Saccharomyces cerevisiae S288C: one gene and its partner. Changing the gene in region 1 together with any one later gene gives a genetic interaction. Each region holds a gene or a part of one and is shown in the gene's direction. Other genes may lie near its edges.

Evidence for each region.
Region 2: mutations in INP51 (region 1) and ERG3 together harm fitness more than expected from each alone (negative genetic interaction), as found in Saccharomyces cerevisiae (5 studies listed by BioGRID, with this or other methods).

What each region holds. Positions count from the first base shown.
Region 1 is NC_001141.2:351,750-355,507, reverse strand, and holds the start of INP51 (phosphoinositide 5-phosphatase INP51), read left to right. Parts: upstream 1-2,076; coding exon 2,077-3,758. Other genes in the region: YIL001W (uncharacterized protein), read right to left, coding at 27-1,568. UniProt on the Saccharomyces cerevisiae protein: Controls the cellular levels and subcellular distribution of phosphatidylinositol 4,5-bisphosphate (PtdIns(4,5)P2).
Region 2 is NC_001144.5:251,859-255,614, forward strand, and holds ERG3 (C-5 sterol desaturase), read left to right. Parts: upstream 1-2,002; coding exon 2,003-3,100; downstream 3,101-3,756. Other genes in the region: SAGA complex subunit SPT8, read right to left, coding at 1-1,222; putative mannosidase MNL2, read left to right, coding at 3,448-3,756. UniProt on the Saccharomyces cerevisiae protein: C-5 sterol desaturase; part of the third module of ergosterol biosynthesis pathway that includes the late steps of the pathway. ERG3 catalyzes the introduction of a C-5 double bond in the B ring to produce 5-dehydroepisterol.

The sequences.
Region 1 (3,758 bases):
AATACATAAGGTTATTGAATGCGGAATTATACATCAAGTTCCAGATCAGCTAGGATATTATCTAACATACCCATATCTTTTCTGTACTCCAAATACCCTACTTGTTTTAGGTATTCTAAATCGTCTTGGTTTTCGAACAGCTCCACATCATCCGGTTCAAAAGAATATTTTCGGAGCAAATAGTACCTAATGTCATCCACTAGTTCAATAGTATCAGTTTCCTGGCGGAGAGAAATTCGTTGTGAACTCAACATAATTGCCCTTTTAATCTCTGGATCTTTATATAACTCTTGCAAATGTATAGCTATAAATTTAGCTGCAAATTGTTCTAAGCGTTCCACTCCTATTTCCCATGATAAATAGAGTACGTCAAAAACATTGTATTGCTGAATAAACTCTTTTGATTGTGTTATAATTGTAGAAGCGATAGTTTTTAAGCGGTCTTCTAAAAGTATATCGGCAAGTAACAAAACATCGACGGCATACATCCAAGGAATGTCTGTATTATCTGCATATAAGTAGCGGAGAATAATTTCGGCAACCTCAAACTCACAATTGGGTAATGTCAGCTGTGGAATGATACTATTATACTTTCCTGTAACGTGCTTGGCTTTGATATATGTAACTTTCTCCTTGAAGTTGTTTGTGAACATCACCTTGAAATATTCTGCGCGGCTCAAAACAGCCAGGTGACAAGGGTATATTCGAATGGCTCCATTTCGGTTTTTTACCATAAGTTGAACATCCGGATAAGCTGGACAGTTCATCAAGGAAAAAACTCGTCGTTCACTATTAGCAAGATCAACAGTAGATCTAAAGATACAATTGTTCACAAATATTAAAAGTTGACTTCTTGCAACCTCGGTAAACTTATATTGGTAATCTGACATTAACCTCGACTTTTCCGTAGGATCGGCGGTATGCCTTGCTTTGTCTAAAAATTCGGGCAATAACTCAATATCAAATTTACTAGATAGCTCTATAAGTTCTTCATATTGTCCCGGTTCAATTTGGTGCAGGATCGGAATTAAGTAAAGAAATTTCAAAAATATGTCAAATATATCTGGGCGCACTTCAAGAGAAACAATTTCATGCTTTGCCCACTCATTCACCATTTTTTCTGCTAGAATTTCGCTCCTTGCACATAATAAGAACTTATGCGCTGTGAACAGTTTTCCATTCGAAACTCTGAATGTGATATCTCTTTTAAGGAAGCCTTCGTCATTATACATCGATGAGATATGAGTAGCAAAGGGTTGCTTGACATCTACAGCCTTGGATATATCATAACTTAAAAGGGTATCTCTGATAGTATCGGTCAATGCTCCATAAATACATCGAGCTCCTTCATATCTGTCTCTATCACAGACGGCTCCTCTCTGTAGAAGAAGTTTCACGACTGCTTCATGCCCGCAAAGGCTAGCCAGAAAAAGTGGCGAATTGTCAAACTTGTCAACACTATTCACATTTACTCCCGTGGAAATCAATCTATCAACATTGTCCATATCACCAGTGCGGCATGAATAGCACAGTTCTTCAAAATTTTTGTCCATTAATTTATCTGCCATAAATATGCCAAAGGTCGTTTTCAAGTGGTAGTGTACAATTTATGACAAATCTTTCCTGTAGTTTTTTTTTTCTTGTATTTTTGTTTATTGTCAATATGACCATAGAGAATAGTAAGTAAATTGAGTGTCCACATCTACGTAGTCCACGTATTATTATTTTACTTAAAAGGGATGGGTGTTTTAGGAATTCAGAATAAGCGATACCGTTTCTAAATTCTCAATTTAGAAGGTTAGGCAGGAATTGAGTTTCAATATAACCTGTTAATGTCCCTTTTTTTTTATCTTCTATTCTTGACGTCGTTTTATCTCCTTCAGGGTTTCCTGTTTTCCTTCTTGTTTAGCATTGCCTAATTGCTAAACGAATCCCTTTGTTAAACATTTGTAAACCGGAAAGTTGGAACAAATATCTACACAAATCAAATAGCCTTTCTATTTCATTCTAGGATTAAGTCAGCAAATATTGATAAAGTTGTGTTAATCGTATGAATTCGAAGCACATTTCACTACAATGAGACTCTTCATCGGTAGAAGATCACGGTCGATTGTAATATCTTCCAACAACTACTGTTTATCCTTCCAGCGTTTGCGCAGCATACCAGGTGCCAGTTCTCAGCAGCGTCAATTAAGTAAAACTCCTAGCGTAACAATCAAGTCCTACCCTGACACAGATCTTTCAAGTGATAGTAACTATCTCGAAGTCAAAAGTTGCATATTTAATGGATTATTAGGGCTCGTTTGTCTTAATGGTGATATATATGTTGCCGTCATATCTGGTGTTCAGAATGTTGGGTTTCCTCGATGGAAACTGATAGATCATCAAGTTAGGCCTTCGGAGAGCATTTATAAAGTATTGGATGTTGACTTTTACAGCTTAGAAAATGATGTTTTCGACTACCTCCTCTGCGAGAGATCAGAGCAAAACTATGATAAATTGATTCATGAGCATCCTTGCGGCCCCCTGAAAAAACTGTTTAGTGATGGAACATTCTACTATTCTAGAGATTTCGACATCTCTAATATCGTGAAAAACCATGGTTTATCACATAACTTAGAATATACCGTAGATAATCAAGATTTATCATTTATTTGGAATGCTAACTTAGCAAGTGAGGTAATCAACTGGAGAAGCAAGATTTCAAATGAGGAGAAACAACTTTTTGCCAACGCAGGGTTCTTAACATTTGTAATTCGGGGTTATTGCAAGACAGCATTAATAGAAGACGGCCCAAATACAGCCTCTATAACCATTATTTCCAGAATTTCGACTGAGAGCAAGCAGGATACGCTAGAATTGGAGGGTATTAGTGAAGATGGGAGAGTGTCGCTATTTGTTGAGACAGAAATTGTAGTAACCACAGAAAAGTTTATTTTTTCTTATACTCAAGTGAACGGAAGCATTCCTCTTTTTTGGGAATCTGTAGAAAGTCAACTGTTGTATGGAAAAAAAATTAAGGTAACAAAAGATTCTATTGAAGCTCAGGGAGCTTTTGACAGGCATTTTGATAATTTAACCTCAAAGTATGGTGTTGTGAGTATCGTTAATATCATAAAACCTAAAAGCGAATCACAAGAAAAGTTAGCACTGACGTACAAGGATTGTGCTGAATCAAAGGGAATAAAAATAACAAATATAGAATACAGCTCAAGCGTTCTGACAAAGTCTCCCCACAAATTACTTTATTTATTAAAACAGGATATTTACGAGTTTGGAGCGTTTGCCTATGATATCTCTAGGGGCATCTACTTTGCAAAACAAACGGGGGTATTAAGAATAAGCGCATTTGATTCAATTGAAAAACCTAACACAGTTGAAAGGTTAGTGAGCAAGGAGGTACTTGAATTAACCACAAATGAAATTGATGTATTTGAATTGACTTCCCCATTCTTGGACGCACATGATAAGCTATGGTCAGAAAACTATTACTGGCTTGATCGAACGTATACTAAGCACACGAAGAATTCTGGTAAATATACAAAGGTTTATTCGAAGTTATTTGGTTCCCGAGTTAGATTATACGACCCGCTCCATATCTACATCTCTCAGTATTTAAAGCAATTAAGGTCAAAATATACGTTTGAGAAAGACATCTCAATTTTTGCAGGTACATTTAATATAAGTGGTAAAATTCCAAAAGATGATATAAAAGATTGGATATTTCCAAAATCAATGTCCAAGGAGGATGAAATGGC
Region 2 (3,756 bases), on another chromosome or scaffold:
CATCCCCCGTCTCGACGGGTTCGTTGCCAGCATCTTGCTTTTCGTCTTCGTCTTCATCACCAAACAGAGAATCCATATCGTCATCTGCATTTTCATTCTCTTTACCACTGTTGACGTTACCGGACACATCCACGGACGAGTACAGCGGCCGCATTTCCAAAGATGACAATTCAGACCTTGATTTTTTAAACTCATTAACTATGTCACCCGTCTGCAAATCCCATTCCAAAAGACGCTTATCCCAGGAACCACTCAAAAACCTGTCCTCTTGACCGTTTAATCTCAGTATGTTAACGATTTGGGTATGTCCATTCCTGCCCTTAAAATAGTGCGCAATGCTCCCCTCCATGTAGCGAACGCCCTGCATGGTAATCCCACCATTCTGTAGCCCGCTCAGTATAAAGAGGCATTCGCTTTGGACTTCCAAAGAATGAACGGGGCTAACTTTGGGCTCGTAATCTGTCTTATTAGCGGAGAGTTTCATTTCTGATTTTTTCTGCGGGATCTCATTTTCCCAGTACGACTGCAAGATACCCGCGTTCTGAATAGACTCAGCCAACGAATGCTTCTGCAGGATAGTTAGAGAAAGTTTCCCCTCAAGCGTGTTCAGCAAGTCGTACTTCCTTATGTATCCATCGCTACCGCCCAAAAACAGGTACTTGAGACCCCTGGACACGGCCAACGCATTGACGTGCGTCTGGATGGGTATGGCTGCCGTGGGGTAGATATTGTACGAATCCGCAATCTGTGCGGCATTCAACATGTGCTTATAGTACTCATAAACCTCTCCATTAGCAGAGGCTTCGTGTGTAGAGGAAGATGCTTCCCTGGACCCCACTCCTCCATCAACATCGCTCAATTTCACATCCTCGGATCCAATCTTAGTAACAGCATCGCCACTATCGCCTGCACCGCCAGCACCAGCAGCAGCAGCCTTTTGCTCATCATGCTGGTGCTCATTCGTCGGTGTAGCAGTCTTATCCATTCTTGCGGCGTCGTCCTCACCATCGTCGTCCTCCTGTTCATCGTCGTCCTCTCGTTCGTCCTCGTCATCATCATCGTCCTCATCATCATCATCGTCATCCTCTTCATCTTCACCACCGTCATCATTCCCCTCGAGGTCCTGCTTTGAGTCGTTTTCCAGCCCACTCAGCATCTCTTCGTCATCCTCCTCGTCATCCACCACCTGGTTGTTAATTAGAATATCGTCAACCTCGTCCATTACGTAAAAGAAGAAAAAAAAAAAAACTGAGCCTTTAGTACACTACAGTTACTGCTACAGCCTTTTACAGCCCAGCATCTGGCACCACTACGCTATAATATATGATGCGTCTATTATGCTAGAATCCTTCCTGAAAGGGCATTCTGGAAGCCCTACGTACAGAGTGACAATATATTAGGGCATCCATAAAAATAGATTAGGGCAGCTCTGCCATTTTTTTCATAGCCGAAAGAAGAAAAACTGAAAAAAAAAATGATACGAAAAAACCGCGAAACGACGCCTTTTGTTGCGATTGTCGGGCATCGCAAGTTACGACGCGTTGTCCCTTGCATCGCTGCCGTGTGGCACGACCCACTGCGGCCTAAACGACCGAGATCGGTGCCCGGGGCAGACCACCCGAAAACTCCCGGGCATTATTTCGGTCGTTTAGTTGCGCCCCAGGGCAACCGGGGTGTATACGAGGCCGATGGCTGCGATAAACGAAAAATTCAGGCTCGTATAAGTGGCACAATAGAAGGTGAAGAAGAACAGCAGGTGCATTGAAACAAGAGGTTCAGCAGCGATCGGGTATTGTTGTTGCTGCTATTATGTAACGGTCGAAAGAAACATCGCGGTATATATTAGAGGCGGATTTCTATCTTTCTTATCAATTCGTTTTTTCATTCACTTGTTCATTCATTCTTTACATTTGTCTTGTTCTTTGAAGTGGTTGCAGAGGAGGTCAGTTTGTTGCATTTGTAAAAAAAGATAATAAGAAAAATATTCGTCTAGATTTGAGATATGGATTTGGTCTTAGAAGTCGCTGACCATTATGTCTTAGACGACTTGTACGCTAAAGTTCTGCCCGCTTCGTTGGCAGCTAATATTCCTGTCAAGTGGCAGAAATTGCTAGGGTTGAACAGTGGGTTCAGCAATTCTACGATTTTGCAGGAGACTTTGAACTCCAAGAATGCCGTCAAAGAATGTAGAAGGTTCTACGGGCAGGTGCCATTCCTGTTTGATATGTCGACGACGTCTTTTGCATCGCTATTGCCTCGTTCCAGCATCTTGAGAGAATTCCTCTCACTATGGGTTATTGTTACGATCTTTGGTTTACTACTTTACTTATTCACGGCTAGTCTCAGCTACGTGTTTGTGTTTGACAAGTCGATTTTCAACCATCCTCGTTACTTGAAAAACCAAATGGCAATGGAAATCAAGTTGGCAGTCAGTGCTATCCCATGGATGTCGATGTTGACCGTTCCATGGTTTGTTATGGAATTGAACGGCCATTCTAAACTATACATGAAGATTGATTATGAAAACCACGGTGTAAGGAAGCTCATTATCGAGTACTTCACTTTCATCTTTTTCACTGATTGCGGTGTGTATTTAGCGCACAGATGGTTGCATTGGCCAAGGGTCTACCGTGCTCTGCACAAGCCTCATCACAAGTGGCTGGTCTGCACACCTTTCGCATCTCATTCTTTCCATCCTGTAGACGGGTTTTTGCAATCCATCTCGTACCACATCTACCCATTGATTCTGCCATTACACAAGGTTTCTTATTTGATTCTGTTCACTTTTGTTAACTTTTGGACTGTTATGATTCATGACGGTCAATACCTATCAAACAATCCTGCCGTCAACGGTACTGCCTGCCACACGGTTCACCATCTATATTTCAACTACAACTACGGTCAATTCACCACTCTGTGGGACAGACTAGGGGGTTCTTACCGTAGACCAGATGACTCATTGTTTGATCCTAAGTTAAGAGATGCTAAGGAGACCTGGGACGCTCAAGTTAAGGAAGTTGAACATTTCATCAAGGAGGTCGAAGGTGATGATAATGATAGAATCTATGAAAACGACCCAAATACCAAGAAGAACAACTGAATACGGTTGCCTTGTTTGTCTCATCTTTTTTCTTTCTTTCACGTTCAAGAACTTTCACACAACGAATAACGTTTATATATTTATATACACATACATGTTTTAAGATACGCATATCATTATGATGTACACCTCACGTTAGTGCAATATGCGCTATTCGTATATTAAATTTTTGCGTTCATTTAATGGCTCTTTTTCCTATTCTAGTGAAAAAAAAAACAGAAAATCGAAGAGCTGGAAAATTTAAGAACAGGCAAATAGGAAGCTGGAAGCTTTAAAATGCCCAAGATTTCGGTGAAGCGCAAGTGTTAACTAGAAAAAGGCCGCCACTACTCTATAAGCAAAACCTTATGTCCATAGCGCGATTAGTATACTCTCTTTTCAGAAGAGTACGATCGGTTCTCTTACTTTTCATTACCATATCGCTATTGTTTTACTATACGTTCCAGAATGAAATCGATATCTTGAATTCGTACGCTTTAAACGACTCACTACCGTCCATAAACAACTATGAGCACAATACAGAAGGTTCTTCGAAACTGGATCCTCCAGACCTATCGTCAACCGGTTCTGACCGAATAGCCACCGACAAGGAAAATGGCAACGTTGCAGTGGATTTGTCAGATCCAGCTACATTGAGAGAAAAAAACAAGTACTTT